Callithrix jacchus: one gene and its partners. The protein of the gene in region 1 binds, or shares a complex with, the protein of each later gene. Links are inferred from orthologs where the notes say so. Each region holds a gene or a part of one and is shown in the gene's direction. Other genes may lie near its edges.

The links. The genes of interacting proteins can lie anywhere in the genome.
Region 2: EXOSC9 (region 1) and EXOSC6 share a complex: the UniProt entries of both Homo sapiens proteins name them as parts of the RNA exosome core complex. The link is inferred for Callithrix jacchus from reciprocal best matches to the Homo sapiens genes EXOSC9 and EXOSC6.
Region 3: EXOSC9 (region 1) and EXOSC1 share a complex: the UniProt entries of both Homo sapiens proteins name them as parts of the RNA exosome core complex. The link is inferred for Callithrix jacchus from reciprocal best matches to the Homo sapiens genes EXOSC9 and EXOSC1.

Annotation. Positions count from the first base shown.
Region 1 is NC_133504.1:75,883,340-75,888,935, reverse strand, and holds the start of EXOSC9 (exosome complex component RRP45), read left to right. Parts: upstream 1-2,415; 5' UTR 2,416-2,514; coding exon 2,515-2,580; intron 2,581-2,896; coding exon 2,897-2,991; intron 2,992-3,722; coding exon 3,723-3,842; intron 3,843-3,976; coding exon 3,977-4,079; intron 4,080-5,596. UniProt on the Homo sapiens protein: Non-catalytic component of the RNA exosome complex which has 3'->5' exoribonuclease activity and participates in a multitude of cellular RNA processing and degradation events.
Region 2 is NC_133521.1:31,651,428-31,656,665, forward strand, and holds EXOSC6 (exosome complex component MTR3), read left to right. Parts: upstream 1-1,480; 5' UTR 1,481-1,525; coding exon 1,526-2,341; 3' UTR 2,342-4,004; downstream 4,005-5,238. Other genes in the region: AARS1 (alanine--tRNA ligase, cytoplasmic), read left to right, coding at 104-217, 553-738. UniProt on the Homo sapiens protein: Non-catalytic component of the RNA exosome complex which has 3'->5' exoribonuclease activity and participates in a multitude of cellular RNA processing and degradation events.
Region 3 is NC_133513.1:90,265,080-90,270,619, reverse strand, and holds the start of EXOSC1 (exosome complex component CSL4), read left to right. Parts: upstream 1-1,782; 5' UTR 1,783-1,802; coding exon 1,803-1,833; intron 1,834-1,938; coding exon 1,939-2,054; intron 2,055-4,517; coding exon 4,518-4,592; intron 4,593-5,540. Other genes in the region: palmitoyltransferase ZDHHC16, read right to left, coding at 308-447. UniProt on the Homo sapiens protein: Non-catalytic component of the RNA exosome complex which has 3'->5' exoribonuclease activity and participates in a multitude of cellular RNA processing and degradation events.

The DNA of each region.
Region 1 (5,596 bases):
CAAGAGTTTGAAACCAGCCTGGCCAACATGGTGAAACCCTGTCTCTACTAAAAATACAAAAATTAGCCAGGCATGGTGGTGTATGCTTATAGTTCCAGCTACTCGGGAGGTTGAGGCAGGAGAATTACTTGAACCTGGGAGGTTGAGGTTGCAGTGAACCAAGATCACACCACTGCACTCCAGCCTGGGTGACAGAGTGAGACTCCATCAAAAAAAAAAAAAAAGAACAGAATGTATTACATTATCTGAACCTCTTCTTAAACTTCCAAACCTATTTTTCATGAAACAAATTTTCCTTTGGCATTCAAAACTTTCTTATAAACACAAGGCTGTAAAGTAGATATGTTTTACGATGTTATGCATATTAAGTAGAGGTGGGTCATACATCTTTGGATTAACTCGAAAATAAAATGGCAAAAACAGGAGTGTTAAAATTACAATATAAAAGTGAAAGTAGAAAAAGAACAGTGGAAATTCAACAAAAGTGGAAGGAAAGCAAAGTAATCAAGCAGCAGTCTCAGAAAAGCAATCTGTCATGCTGAGTTTGGGCAGTTTCATGGGAACCTTCGCCAAACCAACAAGGAAAGAGGAAACTAACATCTGAATAGCTACAATGTCCAAAATGTTTAATTAGATGCTTTCATTCAGACCACTTAACACAGCATAATTATTATCTCCAACCTGAAGATACAGAACCCCAAAATCAGAAAGATTATTTAGCTTACTCCAAGTCCATTTGAGCTGAAGTTTATCTGAAGTCAAAGTCCATTCTCTTTCCACTACCAAGCTGCCTTGCAGGAAATAACAGACTATTTCAATAAAGTTCTATTTCATCACTGAAGGGAAAATTTATCAAACTGCCACTGAAAGAACCCAAGGATTTAAATGAAGAATTTATCAATCAGGAGTTTTGGTGTGGAACTGCACTAAAAAAATTGTTAAAGAATTTAAGTGGTTTGTACACTGTAATCTTGACGATTCTGAAAATTAATCATTTCTGTCTACTTTCCTCCTTCTTCACAATTTCTATCTCCAGACCATGTGGAGCCCGCATCCCATCTCATTTTTGCATGTGTTACTCTTTCTGCTTGAAACACTTTTCCTCTCCTCCAGATGGCATCAAAGTTGCTCCTGCTTAACATCAAAGATTTATTTTACTTAAATGTCACCTCTACAAAGTCACCTGTTCCTGCAACTACCCCTATTAAGATAGCATTCCTATTCTCAGATAGACTTACCACTGTATGAAATTGTTCTATTTGGTTTAGGGTTTTTTTGTCTCTTCCAAAAAGAATATAAATTCCTTGACAGAAGGGATCTTGTCTACCTCATTTCTCCAGCACTCAAATTATTCCTGGACACAGTAGGCCCTCTTCAAGTATTTATTGAGTACATGGTAGTACAAAGTGAGACTAAGATGTATCACTGCTAAAAAAAAAAAAAAAAAAAAAAAAAATGTGAGAAGCTACAAAGAAGCCTAAGAGCCTGCATAGGAGTTACAGTGCCTACCACCCTCTAAAGCAAAAGGAAACAAAATAATAATATGCAAACACTTAAATAGTGCTTACTCCATGCCAGGCACTGTTCTAAGCGTTATATGTATATATAAAAACTCATTTTTATCCCTCATAATACACAGGTTTCTCATTCGCATTCCCCCACTTTTTTTTTTTTTTTTTGCAGGTGAGTAATGTGAAGCACATAGGTCAACTTGCCCAGGGTTATAGTAGTTAACAATAGACTTACAATTTGAACCCTGGCAAGGAACACTTATTAAAACTATTATTTGATACTGCCTCTCCAAAAAAGCTGAGTGGTTGGCAGCATGGCCCCGCTGTTTCTCTGTGACCGTAAAAATAAGTCTATCAACTTCAAATAGCTGGGGAGCGGATAATAAACGTATACTTAGTTTCGTCCACAGTAGCAGTAACGCCATTAGTTATTACGTGCAAACGTTCTCTATTCTCGTCAGCTTTTCAGATCCCACAAGATTTCACCTTTGGCAGCAATAACATCCCGTTTCACCATGTCAACTTTCTCCACCATCCCGTATACCCCCTCATTCCAGTGCTCGTTCATTGAATCTGCTCCGAACCCTGCATCTGCGGCTTTCTAGGGGCCAATGTTAATTCATCTGTAAAATAGCAATAGTATCTGTCTAGTCTCCACCCCGAGAAAGGACTGAGCGAAAGGTGGAGTGTGAGAGCGGTCTACTGATATTAATTTCTATCACTCTGATGGTTATTGTAAGTTTCCTTTTCTCCTCCGCACTTTATGAGCAAAGAAACGAAACTTCACGTTCAAAAACAGCCACCATAAGGGGCATTGGCTTGCCCTATTCACTGTTAAGAGTCTGCGCAGTAGCGAAGGCCAGAGCCCTTGCTTTCTCATTTTCCGCCGCCGCGCTTCGATGACGTAAATTTTCTGCGCCGCGGGACCGGCAGCGGCGCTTCAGGAGTCACGTTCCGTTTCCCCCGCGGATTTTAGTGCCAGTGGGACCCGGGACCCAACACCATGAAGGAAACGCCACTTTCAAACTGCGAGCGCCGCTTCCTACTCCGTGCCATCGAAGAGAAGAAGGTATGGTTTGGTCCCTGCAGAATTGGCGCGCTGCTTGGGCGCCAAGGTGTGAACTCATAACCCGGTCCGCCTGGGCCGGGGGAGCAACTAGGGGAGCGACCGGCGGGTGCACCCCAACCCTCAGGCTTTATTATTGTTTTTTCGACAGGTTCTTTTCAAGGCTCCCAGCAGTTGTCTGTGCTGTAGTTTCCGCTTTTCTATATGGGCGGGATGGTTAGGATTTCACTTTCCTCCAAGTGCTTAGCCCAGAGCCAGAAAAAGTAATTGCTTAAGAAATACTTGTTGAAGGAATAAATGAATGAATTTGTGCTTACAGCGGCTGGATGGCAGACAAACCTATGATTATCGGAACATCAGGATCTCATTTGGAACCGATTACGGATGTTGCATTGTGGAACTTGGAAAAACAAGGTAACAGAATTTAAATAATATATACATTCAAAAGGGAGAAGTTTTTAAAAAGACATATGTTTATAAACCAGCTAAGAAGTCTGGACGGTATCCTTTGTTGAGCTGACAAAAGTAAGTATTTTTTTATGCAAGATTTTTTGGTTTTGTGGTCACTATTGAAATTTGTAATCATAAACCTATTTTCTGTCACGTATCACATAGTTCTTTCTGACTTCTATACATCGTATAGACAACCAGTAGTGACCACACTGAATTTGTTTCTCATACTAGTATAGAGATCTTGAGCATCTTGTCATTAAGTATACATCCTGCTTTCCTCTTTTTCCTGAGTGACATGAAAATTAGGTTTTCTGATATTCATTTTAAAGTTGTGAGACTATTTGGTTAGATAATAGTGGTGAACGATGCCATGTGAAAACCCTTAAGAAATCTCAAGTTTTCATGCCATCTTGTATCAATAAATACTTGCTTTAGAGGTAAAGGTCATTGATTTTTAAAACAATCTGTGGAATAGTAAACATTGTAATAAGATTTTTTTTCTGTTGTGTTTTTAGGTGTATCAATTTATGTTTTATTTCTGTGTATATTATACTTTATATATAATTATATCTCCTATGATATATTTGGCTGAGTGTGATATTACTCAGTAAGGTTGAAACCTGCTGTTTCAGATTTTTTTTTTTTGGAAGGAAGATCTATTTAGTTAATACTTTGTTCCTTTATCTTTTCAGAGTTCTTGGACAGGTTTCCTGTGAACTTGTGGCTCCAAAACTCAATAGGGCAACAGAAGGTATTCTTTTTTTTAACCTTGAACTCTCTCAGATGGCCGCTCCAGCTTTTGAACCTGGCAGGTATTTAAATCTTTTTCTTAAGCTACTTTAGTCATAGGAGGACCTCACAGTAGTGACCTTTTTTTTTTTTTTTTTTTTTGAATACCTGGTGTTGTATTTCATGACATTAGCCCCGTCCTATTTTCCTATTATAGGCAGTCAGATCTCTTGGTGAAGTTGAATCGACTCTTGGAAAGATGTCTAAGAAATTCGAAGTGTATAGACACTGAATCTCTCTGTGTTGTTGCTGGCGAAAAGGTGGGGAATATGCCCAAATTTCTTTTTTTTTTTTAACCCCAAATCACATGGAATGGAGAATATGCCCAAAATTCTTAATCTTAGGATAAATATTGTTGATTCACGGATCCCAGTGTCTGTTTTTATTCTCAGAACTTTCGTTAACTCAGTTTTGTACTGGTTCACTTCACTTCAGATGTGATACCCTTAGAACTTTGTGCCATCTCTCTCTCTCTGAAGGGACAAAAAGCTTTATCTTTAAAGGGTAAAAATAGTAACTTAGATTTGTGTGTAAAATATTTTATTTAAAGAACTTGTGGCTTTTTCATATAATCTCTCATGTATTTTCTTATGTTACCTACATGAGTTCATAGAAGCAGGTAGTTTTCTTTTTTCATGCAGAACTCAAGAACAGATGAAATCACTCATTTTGATAGGTTTATCGATTTACACAGGGCCACATCATGTCAGTAGCAGGGATAACTTTGGAAATCTTAGTCCCAGTAAATTGTGCTGCATTCGGATATTAGAATTGTATTATTATTATTATTATTTTGAGACAGAGTCTCCCTCTGTTGCCCAGGCTGGACTGCAGTGGTGCAATCTCAGCTCACTGCAACCTCTGCCTCCCCTGTTCAAGCCTTCCGAGCAGCTGGAACTACAGGCACCTGCCACCACGTTCAGCTAATTTTTGTATTTTTAATGGAGACAGGGTTTCACCATGTTGGTCAGGCTGGTCTTGAACTCCAGACCTCAAGTGATCCACCTGCCTCAGCCTCCCAAAATGCTGAGATTACAGGGATGAGCCACTGTACCTGGCCAGAATTTGATTCTTGATTAAGGTATTTTGACAAGCTTTTTACTCCACAGAAATCATTTAGCTTTCCATATTCCATACCTAAGTATAATACTTCCTATTTGCATTACTTGTACCCTTATTAAAAATATCACAAAACCTAAAAGTTTAACTTTTAAAAATTTTTTATTTATTATTTTCTCTTAGGGATAGGGTGACACTCTTTTCCAGGCAGGAGTGCAGTGGTGTCATCATATCTCAATGTAACCTTAAACTCCTGGGCTCAAGGGATCCTCTTGCCTTAGCCTCCCAAATAGCTAGGACTACAGTGCATGCCATTTCACCTGGCTAATTAAAAAACATTTTTTTCTTTTTGTGGAAATAAGGTCTTGCTGTGTCGCCCAGGCAGGTCTCAAACTCCTAGGCTCAAGCAGTTCTCCCACCTTGGCCTCCTAAAGTGCTGGGATTATAGGTGTAAGCCACTGTGCCTGGCCTAGGGTTTGTGGTTTTTAAATTAACACACATGATAAAAGTATCATTAGATTTGAGGTTAGGAAAATCTTAGTATTAAGTGTTAGAGTGGTTCTGTTTATTTAAAGTATGTGTTTTACTGTTGTTAAATGACTCACACAGTATTTCAGATGTTTGACTTAAAATTTCTAAAATGTATTTTTTTGTTGACGAACTAGAAGGAGTAACTGCCTGTTTTAAAGCAAGAAAAAATTTGTACACGACGTTACTT
Region 2 (5,238 bases), on another chromosome or scaffold:
GTGTGTGGCGGTCTTGCTGTGGACTGCAGGCTCTCACCTGAGTGGAGAGCAGGGTACCTGCTCCAGCACCGTGGCCTGAGCCAGCTCTTCCCACCCCCCGCAGGCCCTGAATGAAGCTTTGAAGCTCTTCAAGATGCACTCCCCTCAGACGTCTGCCATGCTCTTCACTGTGGATAATGAGGCTGGCAAAATCACGTGCCTGTGTCAAGTCCCCCAGGTCAGAACTGCCTACGACCTTTCACACCAGGGGGGCAGTGTAGGTCTTAAGCTTATTCCTGAGGCCTGTGTGTTCACAATCGGCATTTGAAACTAGACACCTGTTGCCCTTTACCCCGGCCTTCTCATTGGTGAAGATGTCTGGTTGATACTTGGCTTTGCCACTCTGTCCTTTCCTGGCTGTGGCTATGACTTCCCCCTTTACCAGCTGTTAAGCGTGTCTCGGCTGCCAGCATCACCACCCTGGGCAGGAGTGGGGGATGGCTCCTGCATTTCTTTTCCTCCATTCCTCATTTATCTTGTGTCCTAACTCCCCCTTCCCTTCTTTTCTTCCAGAATGCAGCCAATAGGGGCCTAAAAGCCAGCGAGTGGGTGCAGCAGGTATCAGGCCTGATGGATGGTAAGGGTGGTGGCAAGGATGTGTCTGCGCAGGCCACAGGCAAGAACGTTGGCTGCCTGCAGGAGGCGCTGCAGCTGGCCACTTCCTTTGCCCAGCTGCACCTCGGGGATGTGAAGAACTGAGGTGGGGAAGGAGGAGTTTGGCACTGGATCCATAGGTCCAGCCAGGAGTTCCTCCTCTGCTCTAAGAACATTAGAATCTTGGGACCTTTAAAGAGCTCCCACCATCTTCCTAACCCCACGGTAACTGGAAGAGGTCCTGTGACCCAGTATTCCTTATATGTCTGCCCTGAGTACCCCAGCATTGCTGTTGTGCATCGATAGGCATCTGGAGCGGACAGCTCTCCAGACCTGAGCTGTCTGGGTTAGCAAATGGGAATCATTTTCGCTGCAGAGAATAAAGGACCATGTGCAATAATTGACGCCGCAGGATCTCTACCCATTCCCAATGGGGGCGCGCCGTTTCCACAGCCTGTGGCCCCTGCTGTCTAGAATAAATGCTGTGACTCCTGCTGGCTGCTGCTGTATTCACTGTCTAGCCCCAGAACTCTGAATTTTGGGAGTAGCCCCTGTGGTTGCCTCAACCGTTTGTGGCGATGGAAGCCAAATAGGTGACATAGAGGGAGGTGTTCATAATTCAACAGAAAATGAGGGGTGGAAGCAGAGAAGCCTCTTTCTTCTAACTGCCGCCCCCCGCCCCCGTTGTATGTATGAACGCCACATGCCCTGCACTAGCGGCACCAAGGCTTTGAGGACGCCGGCCGTTCTCCCTCCAGGCCTTCAGAGGGCGCTATAGCGAAGCCGGCTGCTCCCCGACATCCTTCGCGCAGGCGCGCATCTTTAAGCAGCGGAAGAGCTGGTGTGCGTGGTGGAGCAGCGGCCGGAAGCAGGTCGCACGCCAGGCGCCGTGATGCCTGGGGACCACCGCCGTATACGCGGCCCGGAGGAATCACAGCCGCCGCAGCTGTACGCGGCCGACGAAGAGGATGCGCCCGCCGCTCGCGACCCGACGCGGCTGCGACCCGTGTACGCTCGCGCGGGGTTGCTGAGCCAAGCCAAGGGCTCAGCCTACCTGGAGGCAGGAGGCACCAAGGTGTTGTGCGCGGTGTCGGGCCCGCGCCAGGCCGAGGGCGGCGAGCGCGGGGGCGGCCCGGCCGGAGCGGGTGGCGAGGCCCCGGCCGCGCTGCGTGGTCGACTGCTCTGCGATTTCCGCCGCGCCCCCTTCGCGGGGCGCCGGCGCCGCGCTCCCCAGGGCGGCGGTGAGGAGCGTGAGCTGGCGCTGGCGCTGCAGGAGGCGCTGGAGCCAGCGGTGCGCCTGGGCCGATACCCGCGTGCACAGCTCGAGGTGTCTGCGCTGCTGCTGGAGGACGGGGGCTCAGCCCTGGCCGCCGCGCTCACCGCCGCTGCGCTCGCCCTGGCCGATGCGGGCGTGGAGATGTACGACCTGGTGGTGGGCTGCGGCCTGAGCCTCGCTCCGGGGCCCGCGTCCACCTGGCTACTGGACCCCACGCGGCTCGAGGAGGAGCGCGCCGCCGCCGGTCTCACTGTGGCACTCATGCCCGTCCTGAATCAGGTGGCTGGGCTGCTGGGTAGCGGGGAGGGTGGCCTGACCGAGAGCTGGGCGGAGGCCGTACGCCTTGGCCTCGAGGGCTGCCAGCGCCTCTATCCAGTGTTGCAGCAGTGCCTGGTGCGGGCTGCCCGTCGCAGGGGCGCCGCCCCGCCCTGAACAACGACGGACGCCACGCCGAGACCCGTGCCGTGGGCCTCGAGCCTGCATCGAGATATGCAGCAGGAGCCCCGGAGAGCACCTGGAGAGGCTGAAACAGAGCCGAGGCGCCAGACAGCTGTGGTGGTGGAAGGGCTTTTTACAAACCTCATTAAAGGAACTTTCCTCCTTTAGCCGGCTCTCAGCTGCGACCCAGTTGAGAACACCTGTGAGCGCAGCCTGACTTCCAGGCTGGAAACTTGGAACTTACCTGGAAGCTGGTATCTGGGAACTGTAGTCATTTAAGGGATAGATCCTTTGCACCGCCAGCCAGAGACTCCCTCTGACGTAACTGGGCGACTTTTGAGAGGTTGGACAAGAGGCTGTGCCTTCTCACCGTGTCTGAGCCAAAAGAAAAACACTTCTATATCTGAAAAGCGTCTTCTGTTGTGATTCTTCTTGGTCCAGGATTTTAGAGAGCACGGCTTCTTTGTTCTTACATCCCAGGTGGCAAGGGGCCGTGACCGCGGTGCCTTTAACCGGTCCCGTTCCTTAGACCAACTTGAACGGGACAGATAGGCTGCAAAGAACAGCTGCAGGACTGGATGTGGGCCCTGTGCTTTATAGAAGGAGAAGCTGCCCCCACACGAACCAGAGACAGGACAGCTGCTGAGATATGACAAAAGTAGGAAGAGTTGTATGGCCCCAGCGGCGCGCTGAGTGCACCCCAGCCCCCCACCCTGGTTTGGTACTGGGCAAGACCCAACTCGGCTGGGTAGCTGGAATGGGTTTTGCTCTGGGTGGAAGCCAGATCTGTCCTTGGCCATGTGGAGAACGGCACAACCAGAGGCCTCCACAGCCGGTGGGAAGTGGTGTCCTGGGCCGTCTTCACGTGGTGCCTTGGTCCTAGGAGGAAAACCCTGAGCAACGCCCAGAGAGGGCAGGTGAACTGCCAGGAAAGCCAGGTACGGCTTGGCTGCTCCATAGGGCAGAACCGGCCTGACTCACCACGAGGGTGGGGTCTTTCCTGTGTGGCTCCCAGATCTGCTGGTCTGGTCTCAAGGCTGCTCTGGACGCAGCCAGGTGACTGCCATTGAGAAGGCAGGGCAGCCTGGTCCGGTCTCTGCACTCGGCTTCTCGGGGAAGGGCCGGTGCCGGGCAGCCCAAGGACCAGAATGAGTTTCTGGAGCCACACCAAGAAGCCTTGACCAGGAAAAAGATTTATGAATTTTATTTTTTCCCTTTTGACTTACCTTTCCAGAGCAGGTCTGAAATGGTATCACACCAGTGGAGACAGCTCATGTTATTCTGAAGGATGGCTTTGGAGAGTGGATGACGAGTCTGGAGCCCCAAGAGGGTGGTGTGGGGTGTACGCCGAGGACCTTCCGGCTGTTTCGGGCAGGGAGGGAGACTGGGATCCCAGGGAAATCTGTTGGCTGTTGGTGCATCCAGAGGGGAGTGAAGAGCAGCTGTGGCCGTGTCTGCACTCAGGACTGAGGATTGCCCCTGAGTGCTGGGGTGGGGTGGGGGTGGGCTGTCAGCTGTCCCTTGGAAGACAGCCTCAGCTTCATGAGGATGGCGACCTGGTACAGTCCCAGGCTACCTCCCTCCTAACGCTGTCAGTCCCATGGCTGTCATCGTGAAATGTAACCTCCTAAGAAGCTAAACCTGCTGCAACAGTGAACCTTCCGCTTTTCTGGCCAAGCCCTGTGTTCTCTTCTATTGACCCAGCTCCAGAACGGGTATCTCAGGTTGCATGGGTGCTACCAGGAGGCCTTCACAACCTAGGCAAGGCAAGGACCTACCCCAGAACGCCCGGAGCTGATGAGCCTGGAGGAGATCCTGCTTCCTCTTGGCTGTCCTGGTCCTATGCGTGGTCCTCCACCTGTAGGGAAAGTAGAAGCAGGACGTTAGTGGAGGGGCAGGAGGCATGGGCTAGGAAAGGAGGGGCCCACAGCACCTAGTCTTTCTGCACCCACTTTCCATTTCCCCAGAGCTTTGGCACCTCAGATCTAGGAACTCAGAACCACCAGGCAAAAGAAAGCATTTTTTCTACATGGAGATGTGCCCATTCAAATGTTACAGGTGTGACTCAGGCCCTGGGCAGCAGAGAGAGCTCTCCCGAGCCCAGCAGGCCAAGAACAGAGCTGTGTGGGTGGATGGGGGTGGGCTCCCAGCACAGTGTAGGCCAGGCGTGGCCTGCCTCAGACCACCGAGAGTGGAGGTGATGGTAGAGCAGGGAATGTTGGGGCCCTCTAATTTCACACAGAGGGCTGTTACCAGTTCCAGGAAGGTCTGTGTGCCATAGCTTCTGGGGGTGGGGCATGGGACAGCTGGAGACCCAGCAACGGCAGGTGGAGATGGGGCCCGGAAGAGGGGCTTGGGTTTTAACAAGCTTACCAGCCAGGTCTCACACAAGGGCTTTGGGGCCTTGGGGCACACCTGTGACATTCCCTCTACAGTCCTCCTGTCCCTGTCCCCCCAGTGCCTTCCAGGAGAAGGTATTTCAGCCCAGAACCAACCCTGGCATAGCTGAGCCCTCCAAGCCTGGAATTGGGTGACAGAAAACAGGGCCAGGCCCAGCCTACTGAGCATGGCTCTGTGGCAGGGGCACACACCTCCCCTTCTTAACCACTGCGGGCTGCGGCTATGACCATGGGTCTTCCCTTGCTCACGGGGACCACGAGGAACAAAACACATGTAGGGTGGAGATGGGGAAGCGGGGCCAGGCCACTCACTGTCCGCTCTGTGTCTGTACTGCCCTCAGAGCCATCTGTCCAGGGACTGGCCCTCTGGCTCTGGGACTTCTGTGAGGACACAGAGCTACAAGAGGAACCCTTGCAGCCAGGACCCCTGTTCTTTCTACTGTCCTTTGTGGCTGTGCAGAGTCATCAGTCTGGCTGGGTTTGGAGGCCACA
Region 3 (5,540 bases), on another chromosome or scaffold:
GAGGGACAAAATTCCATCTCAAAAAAAAAATAAGAAGAAAAATAAAAAACTCCTAAATGCATAGATACAGATTTAGGTGAACAAAGTCTGAGGCTAGGGCCTCTCCCCTTTAGCTAATGGGGTAGGGGATGCCAGGAAAATGATATATGTAGTAAGTGGGCTACAACTGAACACATAGACTTTTCATCTCAGGACACTGAGGTAAAGCAAAATTCAGAAAGATGTGTGGGGGGAAGAAGGGCAAAGTGTAGCCTCACTACCACCCCAAGCAGAAGCCCCGAGTACTGTGATCCCTCAGAGTAGTCACCACAGGCCATAGTCATGATCTGCCACCAGACTGGAGGAGACTACAGGCCACAGCCTCCCTTCTTCCCATGGCTCTAAGTCACCATCTGTTTCCCAAGGGGAAAGTCGACTGAGGGAACAGGGACACACGGCAAACGCCATCAGAAGTCAGGTGAACAACTGAGATCAAAGACGCTGCTCTTAGGATGTTTGCAATTCCAAGTAGGAGATACCAGACATCAATGAAGAGTAGCATTTTATTCATGTGCAGATCTCCCTTCTGGGCTAACACGCTGAGAAGAAAAAGAATAGCAACTTTATTTTGGGGCTGCTCATCTTTTCATGAGGGGCCCACACAACCAGAGCTCGACTTTTTCAACCTGAGAAAGCTCACTGAAGTAGGGATGGGGGGCCGTGAAGAGGATCAGAACGCAGGACTGAAAGCTGCGGTTTAAAAAACCGGGAAAAGGACCAGGCGCGGTGGCTCACGCCTGTTATCCTAACACCTTGGGAGGCCGAGGCGGGTGGATCACCTGAGACCAAGAGTTCGGGACCAGGCTGGCCAACAAGGTGAAACCCTGTCTCTAAGTACAAAAATTAGCCAGGCACGGTGACACACGCCTGTAATCCCAGCTGCTTGGGAGGCTGAGGCAGAACTGTTTGAACCCAGGGGGCGTAGATTTCAGTGAGCCGAGATCACGCCACTACACTCCAGCCTGGCGACAGAGCGAGACCCCGTATATATTTAAAAAAACAAACAAACAAACAGGAAAAGGTTTTATTTCTCAATGAGAGCCACGAGGTGAAACTGCGACGGTCTGTAAGTCAAAAACCGTGGGTTCCAGTTTGGGCTCTATCTTAACTATCTTCAAGATTTTGGACAAGCCAAACCCTGTCTCTGAATCTGAGGTTCCCTATCTGTGAAATGGAGGGGGTCGCTTGACCTCCTTCCTTCCGGCTCTATGCCTAACGGTTGCTCGGAAGGTGTGCTCCGGCGGAGGAAGACACGGCCCCGCAGGGCGGGGCGGGGAGAGAGCAGGAACCCGGACTCAAGACAAGGCCTCAGGGCAGTGCCCGACCCAAAAAAAGGGACTAGGATTGGGAGCAAGGGCCGAGGCTTCGCCCTTACCTGCCGCCTGCCGACTCCCCAGTCAGCCAAACCGAGCCCCGCAGCCTCTGCCGCCGCTCACTGCCACCCCTTCTGACTCGGCGCCCCGGCCGGGCCGGGCTCAATCCAACCCACCATGGCACGCAGCCCGCAGCGCCAGCCAGCGCAACCGGACCCGCCGCCAGCCCATCCTCAACCACAGGCGCAGTCGCAAGCGTGGAGCTCTGAAGTTCCGCCCCCGGATTTGTCCCGGGGTAATCTGGGAAATTGAGTTTACCCGCAAGGAGGCGCTCCTACAGATCACGTGATAAAGAACACCAATTGACGCAAGTCTTACTGCGGAACTGTGCCTGGGTTTGGCCAATGAGAAGTCGACTTCGTTTCCATCCGGGTTTGGACAGCGGCAATCATGGCGCCACCCGTCAGATACTGCATTCCCGGTAAGAGAGCGCTTCCCGTAGAGTCCTGGAAAGAGGTCGAAGCTGGAAGGCTGGACGGCCTATAGCTTCTGGGGGCCAGTGACTGATAGAGCATTTTTTCTGCAGGCGAACGTCTGTGTAACTTGGAGGAGGGCAGCCCGGGCAGTGGCACCTACACCCGCCACGGTTACATCTTTTCGTCGCTTGCCGGCTGCCTGATGAAGAGCAGCGAGAACGGCGCGGTAAAGGGAGCGGCTTGCCGTCTCCTCTCTCTCTTTTCACTTAGGCTTTCATTAAGTTCCAGTCCTTAGGCATGGCCACTGCGGACGTGTCTTTAGTGCCTCACCGGTACAACCTTGGTCTTAGTTTCTTCTAGCCGTGATCGCCGCCGTTGTGCACTTGGACACCACAAACTAGTTGTGTTGATCTCGCTTGGTTGTGCTGCTGACTCTTGGGGAGGGAGGTTGGGACAAAAGCAGATGTGAACTCAGTAACCCAGCCCAGCCCAGCAGTGAGTTGCATACTGTATGAATGTCGCTTATCTCTCCGGCTTTATCTTGCGCCACTATCTCCACCTCACTGACGCAATCTAGTCATACTGTCTTTTCTGTTTTTAAAATTTATAATCACAGTCTCTGCTTGCCCTTTTTTAAAAAATTTATAACATACTAGCTTCTCTCAATGTCGCTAAGGTGCCAAGCTTTCTCCTGCTACAGAGCCTTTGTAACATTCATCTATCTGGAACGCTTCTGTCTTCCTAGGCCCATTTAATTCCTACCTCCTTTAGATAGCTTCTGTACTATCAACTTCTCAGAGAAGCCCTTCTGGACCCACTAATTGAGGAAAGGGGTTTTGTGGGGTGTTTTGTTTTTGTTTGTTTTGTTTAAGACTCACAAAGACCTCTGTTCCTTTTATTCCAAGCATTTATGTCAGCATATGATTAGAAACTCAGGTATATGATTCCCACCAGACTTCTCCACTGCTTGAATCTAAGTTCCATGAAAGCAGGCCCTACCACCATACATTCAGTATCTAGCACAAGGCAGCTCCTCAATAAATGTTTGTTGAATGCATAATACCAAACTTTCTAGTTTTAGAAATTGATCGGGCTGGGCGCGGTGGCTCAAGCCTCTAATCCCAGCACTTTGGGAGGCCGAGGCGGGTGAATCACGAGGTCAAGAGATCGAGACCATCCTGGTCAACATGGTGAAACCCCGTCTCTACTAAAAAGTACAAAAAATTAGCTGGGCATGGTGGCGCATGTCTGTAATCCCAGCTACTCAGGAGGCTGAGGCAGGAGAATTGCCTGAATCCAGGAGGCGGAGGTTGCAGTGAACCGAGATAGCGCCATTGCACTTTAGCCCCTGGGTAACACAAGCGAAACTCCGTCTCAAAAAAAAAAAAATCAGAAATTGATCTAGGATTAGCTCAGGATCGCATAAGCAATATTTGAAGGAGCACAATAGAGGATTCAGAATTAGAACACATAGGTTCTAGCTAACTAGACCTTGATTCTGCTTTGAGTAAGTAAATTAAGCTGTCTGATTCAAGGGGCTTTCTATTCAGTCATTCTTGGGAATGTCCTTAACAGTCCTGAGTTTCTTCACTTCACAGATACCATCTGAGTGTTTTCATGTGTCAGGCACAGCGCTGACTTGGTTTCTGCTATCAAAGGACACAGACACAAATTGTAAAATAAATGCTTAAATTGTATATGGTTACATATTTGGTGACTGCTTAAAAGAATATTACAGGGCACCTTGAAAACATGTAACAACCAAACCCACCCTAGTCAGCAGAAGTGACATTTAAGCTGAATCATCTAAAGAGTAAGTAAGAGTTGGGTGGGTGGAGAGAGTGTAGTTCTGGTAGAAAGAACGGGTTGAAGAGAGATCCAAAAGTGGGAAGAATTTAGTAAGTCAGAGAAACTGAAAGAAGGCCAGGAGAGCTGAAGCATCATGACCAAGGGAGAGATTGATAAAAGATGAGGTTCAAACTATCTGTCTTACACCAACAGCCAATACCATGCTCAAAGAGCAAATGCAGCTATTCACTTAAAATAGAAGAAAACAAGCATGGCCACTATTATGTAACATTTTTGTGGGAATTTCAGCCAGGCGGGGGCTCAAGCCTGTAATCCCAGCACTTTGGGAGGCCGAGGCGGGTGGATCACGAGGTCAAGAGATCGAGACCATCCTGGTCAACATGGTGAAACCCCGTCTCTACTAAAAATACAAAAAATTAGCTGGGCATGTTGGCGCGTGCCTGTAATCCCAGCTACTCAGGAGGCTGAGGCAGGAGAATCACTTGTACTCAGGAGGCGGAGGTGGCAGTGAGCCGAGATCGTGCCACTGGACTCCAGCCTGGGCAACAAGAGTGAAACTCCATCTCAAAAAAAAAAAAGAAAAAAATTATCCATGATTATAGGCAGTATATAGTTGTATACCAAGAAATTCCAAGAGAATCACCAAAAAACTTACTAGAACTCATCTAGAATAGTGAGATTTATGTCTTAGCAGCATTCTGTAACCTCTTTTTCCTACTATTTCCTAAAGTTTCTAATGTCTTCTGCTCTGGGCTATAAATGAATCTGTACTCCAACTCTCAACTGTGTACTAAGGCATTCCTATGTTACTCTCAAGCCACAAATGCCTTGACCCAAGGGTTAGCCAGGACATTTCAGTTTTTTGTTGTTCCCTCTGTAGCTTCCTGTGGTGTCTGTAATGAGAGAAACAGAGTCCCAATTACTGCCAGATGTGGGAGCTATTGTAACCTGTAAGGTAAGACGGTTCTAACCTCCATGCTTTGAATGCCCTTTCAATACTGAAATCATGATCATGCTAGAACTGCAGTGTCCAGTATGATAGCCACAAGCTACATATGGCTACTTAAACAGTATTAAAAATTTATTTCTGGCTGGGTGCAGTGGCTCATACTGCATCTAGCACTTTCAGAGGCCAAGGCAGGAGGATTGCTTCAGCCTAGAGTTCAAGACTATCCTGGGAAACAGTGAAACCTCATCTCTACAAAAAGAATCAAAATTAGTCAGGCATGGTAGCACATGCCTGTGGTCCTAACTACTTGGGAGGCTGAGGCAGGAGGATCACTTGAGCCCAGGGGGTTGAAGCTGCAGTGAGCCATGATTGCTTCAGCCTGGGTGACAGGGCAAGACCCTGTCTCTCAAACACAAACAAAAAAAAACATTTATTTCCTTAGTCACATTAGCCACATTTCAAGTACTCAGTAGCCACTTGAGGCTGATGGCTGCTATACTGGTCAGCACATGAAAAACATTTATTTCCTTGGTCACATTAGCCACATTTCAGTGGCTAATGGCTGCTGTACTGGTCAGCACATGACTTTTCTATCATGACACAAAGTTTTACTGGACTGTGTTGGTCTATCCATTTCTAGGATAATAATCAAGGCAGCCAAGTTCAGGCATGTTTAGTTCCTTCACTTAGTTGATTCCCAGAATATATAGTTTCTACCTGCGTCTGGGAAACAGGATGCCAGAGGATGATTAGGAGGCCTATTTTTTTATTTTATTTTTTATTTTTTAAATTTTTTTGAGACAGAGTTTCGCTCTTGTTACCCAGGCTGGAGTGCAATGGCGTGATCTCAGCTCACCGCAACCTCCACCTCCTGGGTTCAGGCAATTCTCCTGCCTCAGCCTCCTGAGTAGCTGGGATTACAGGCACGTGCTACCATGCCCAGCTAATTTTTTG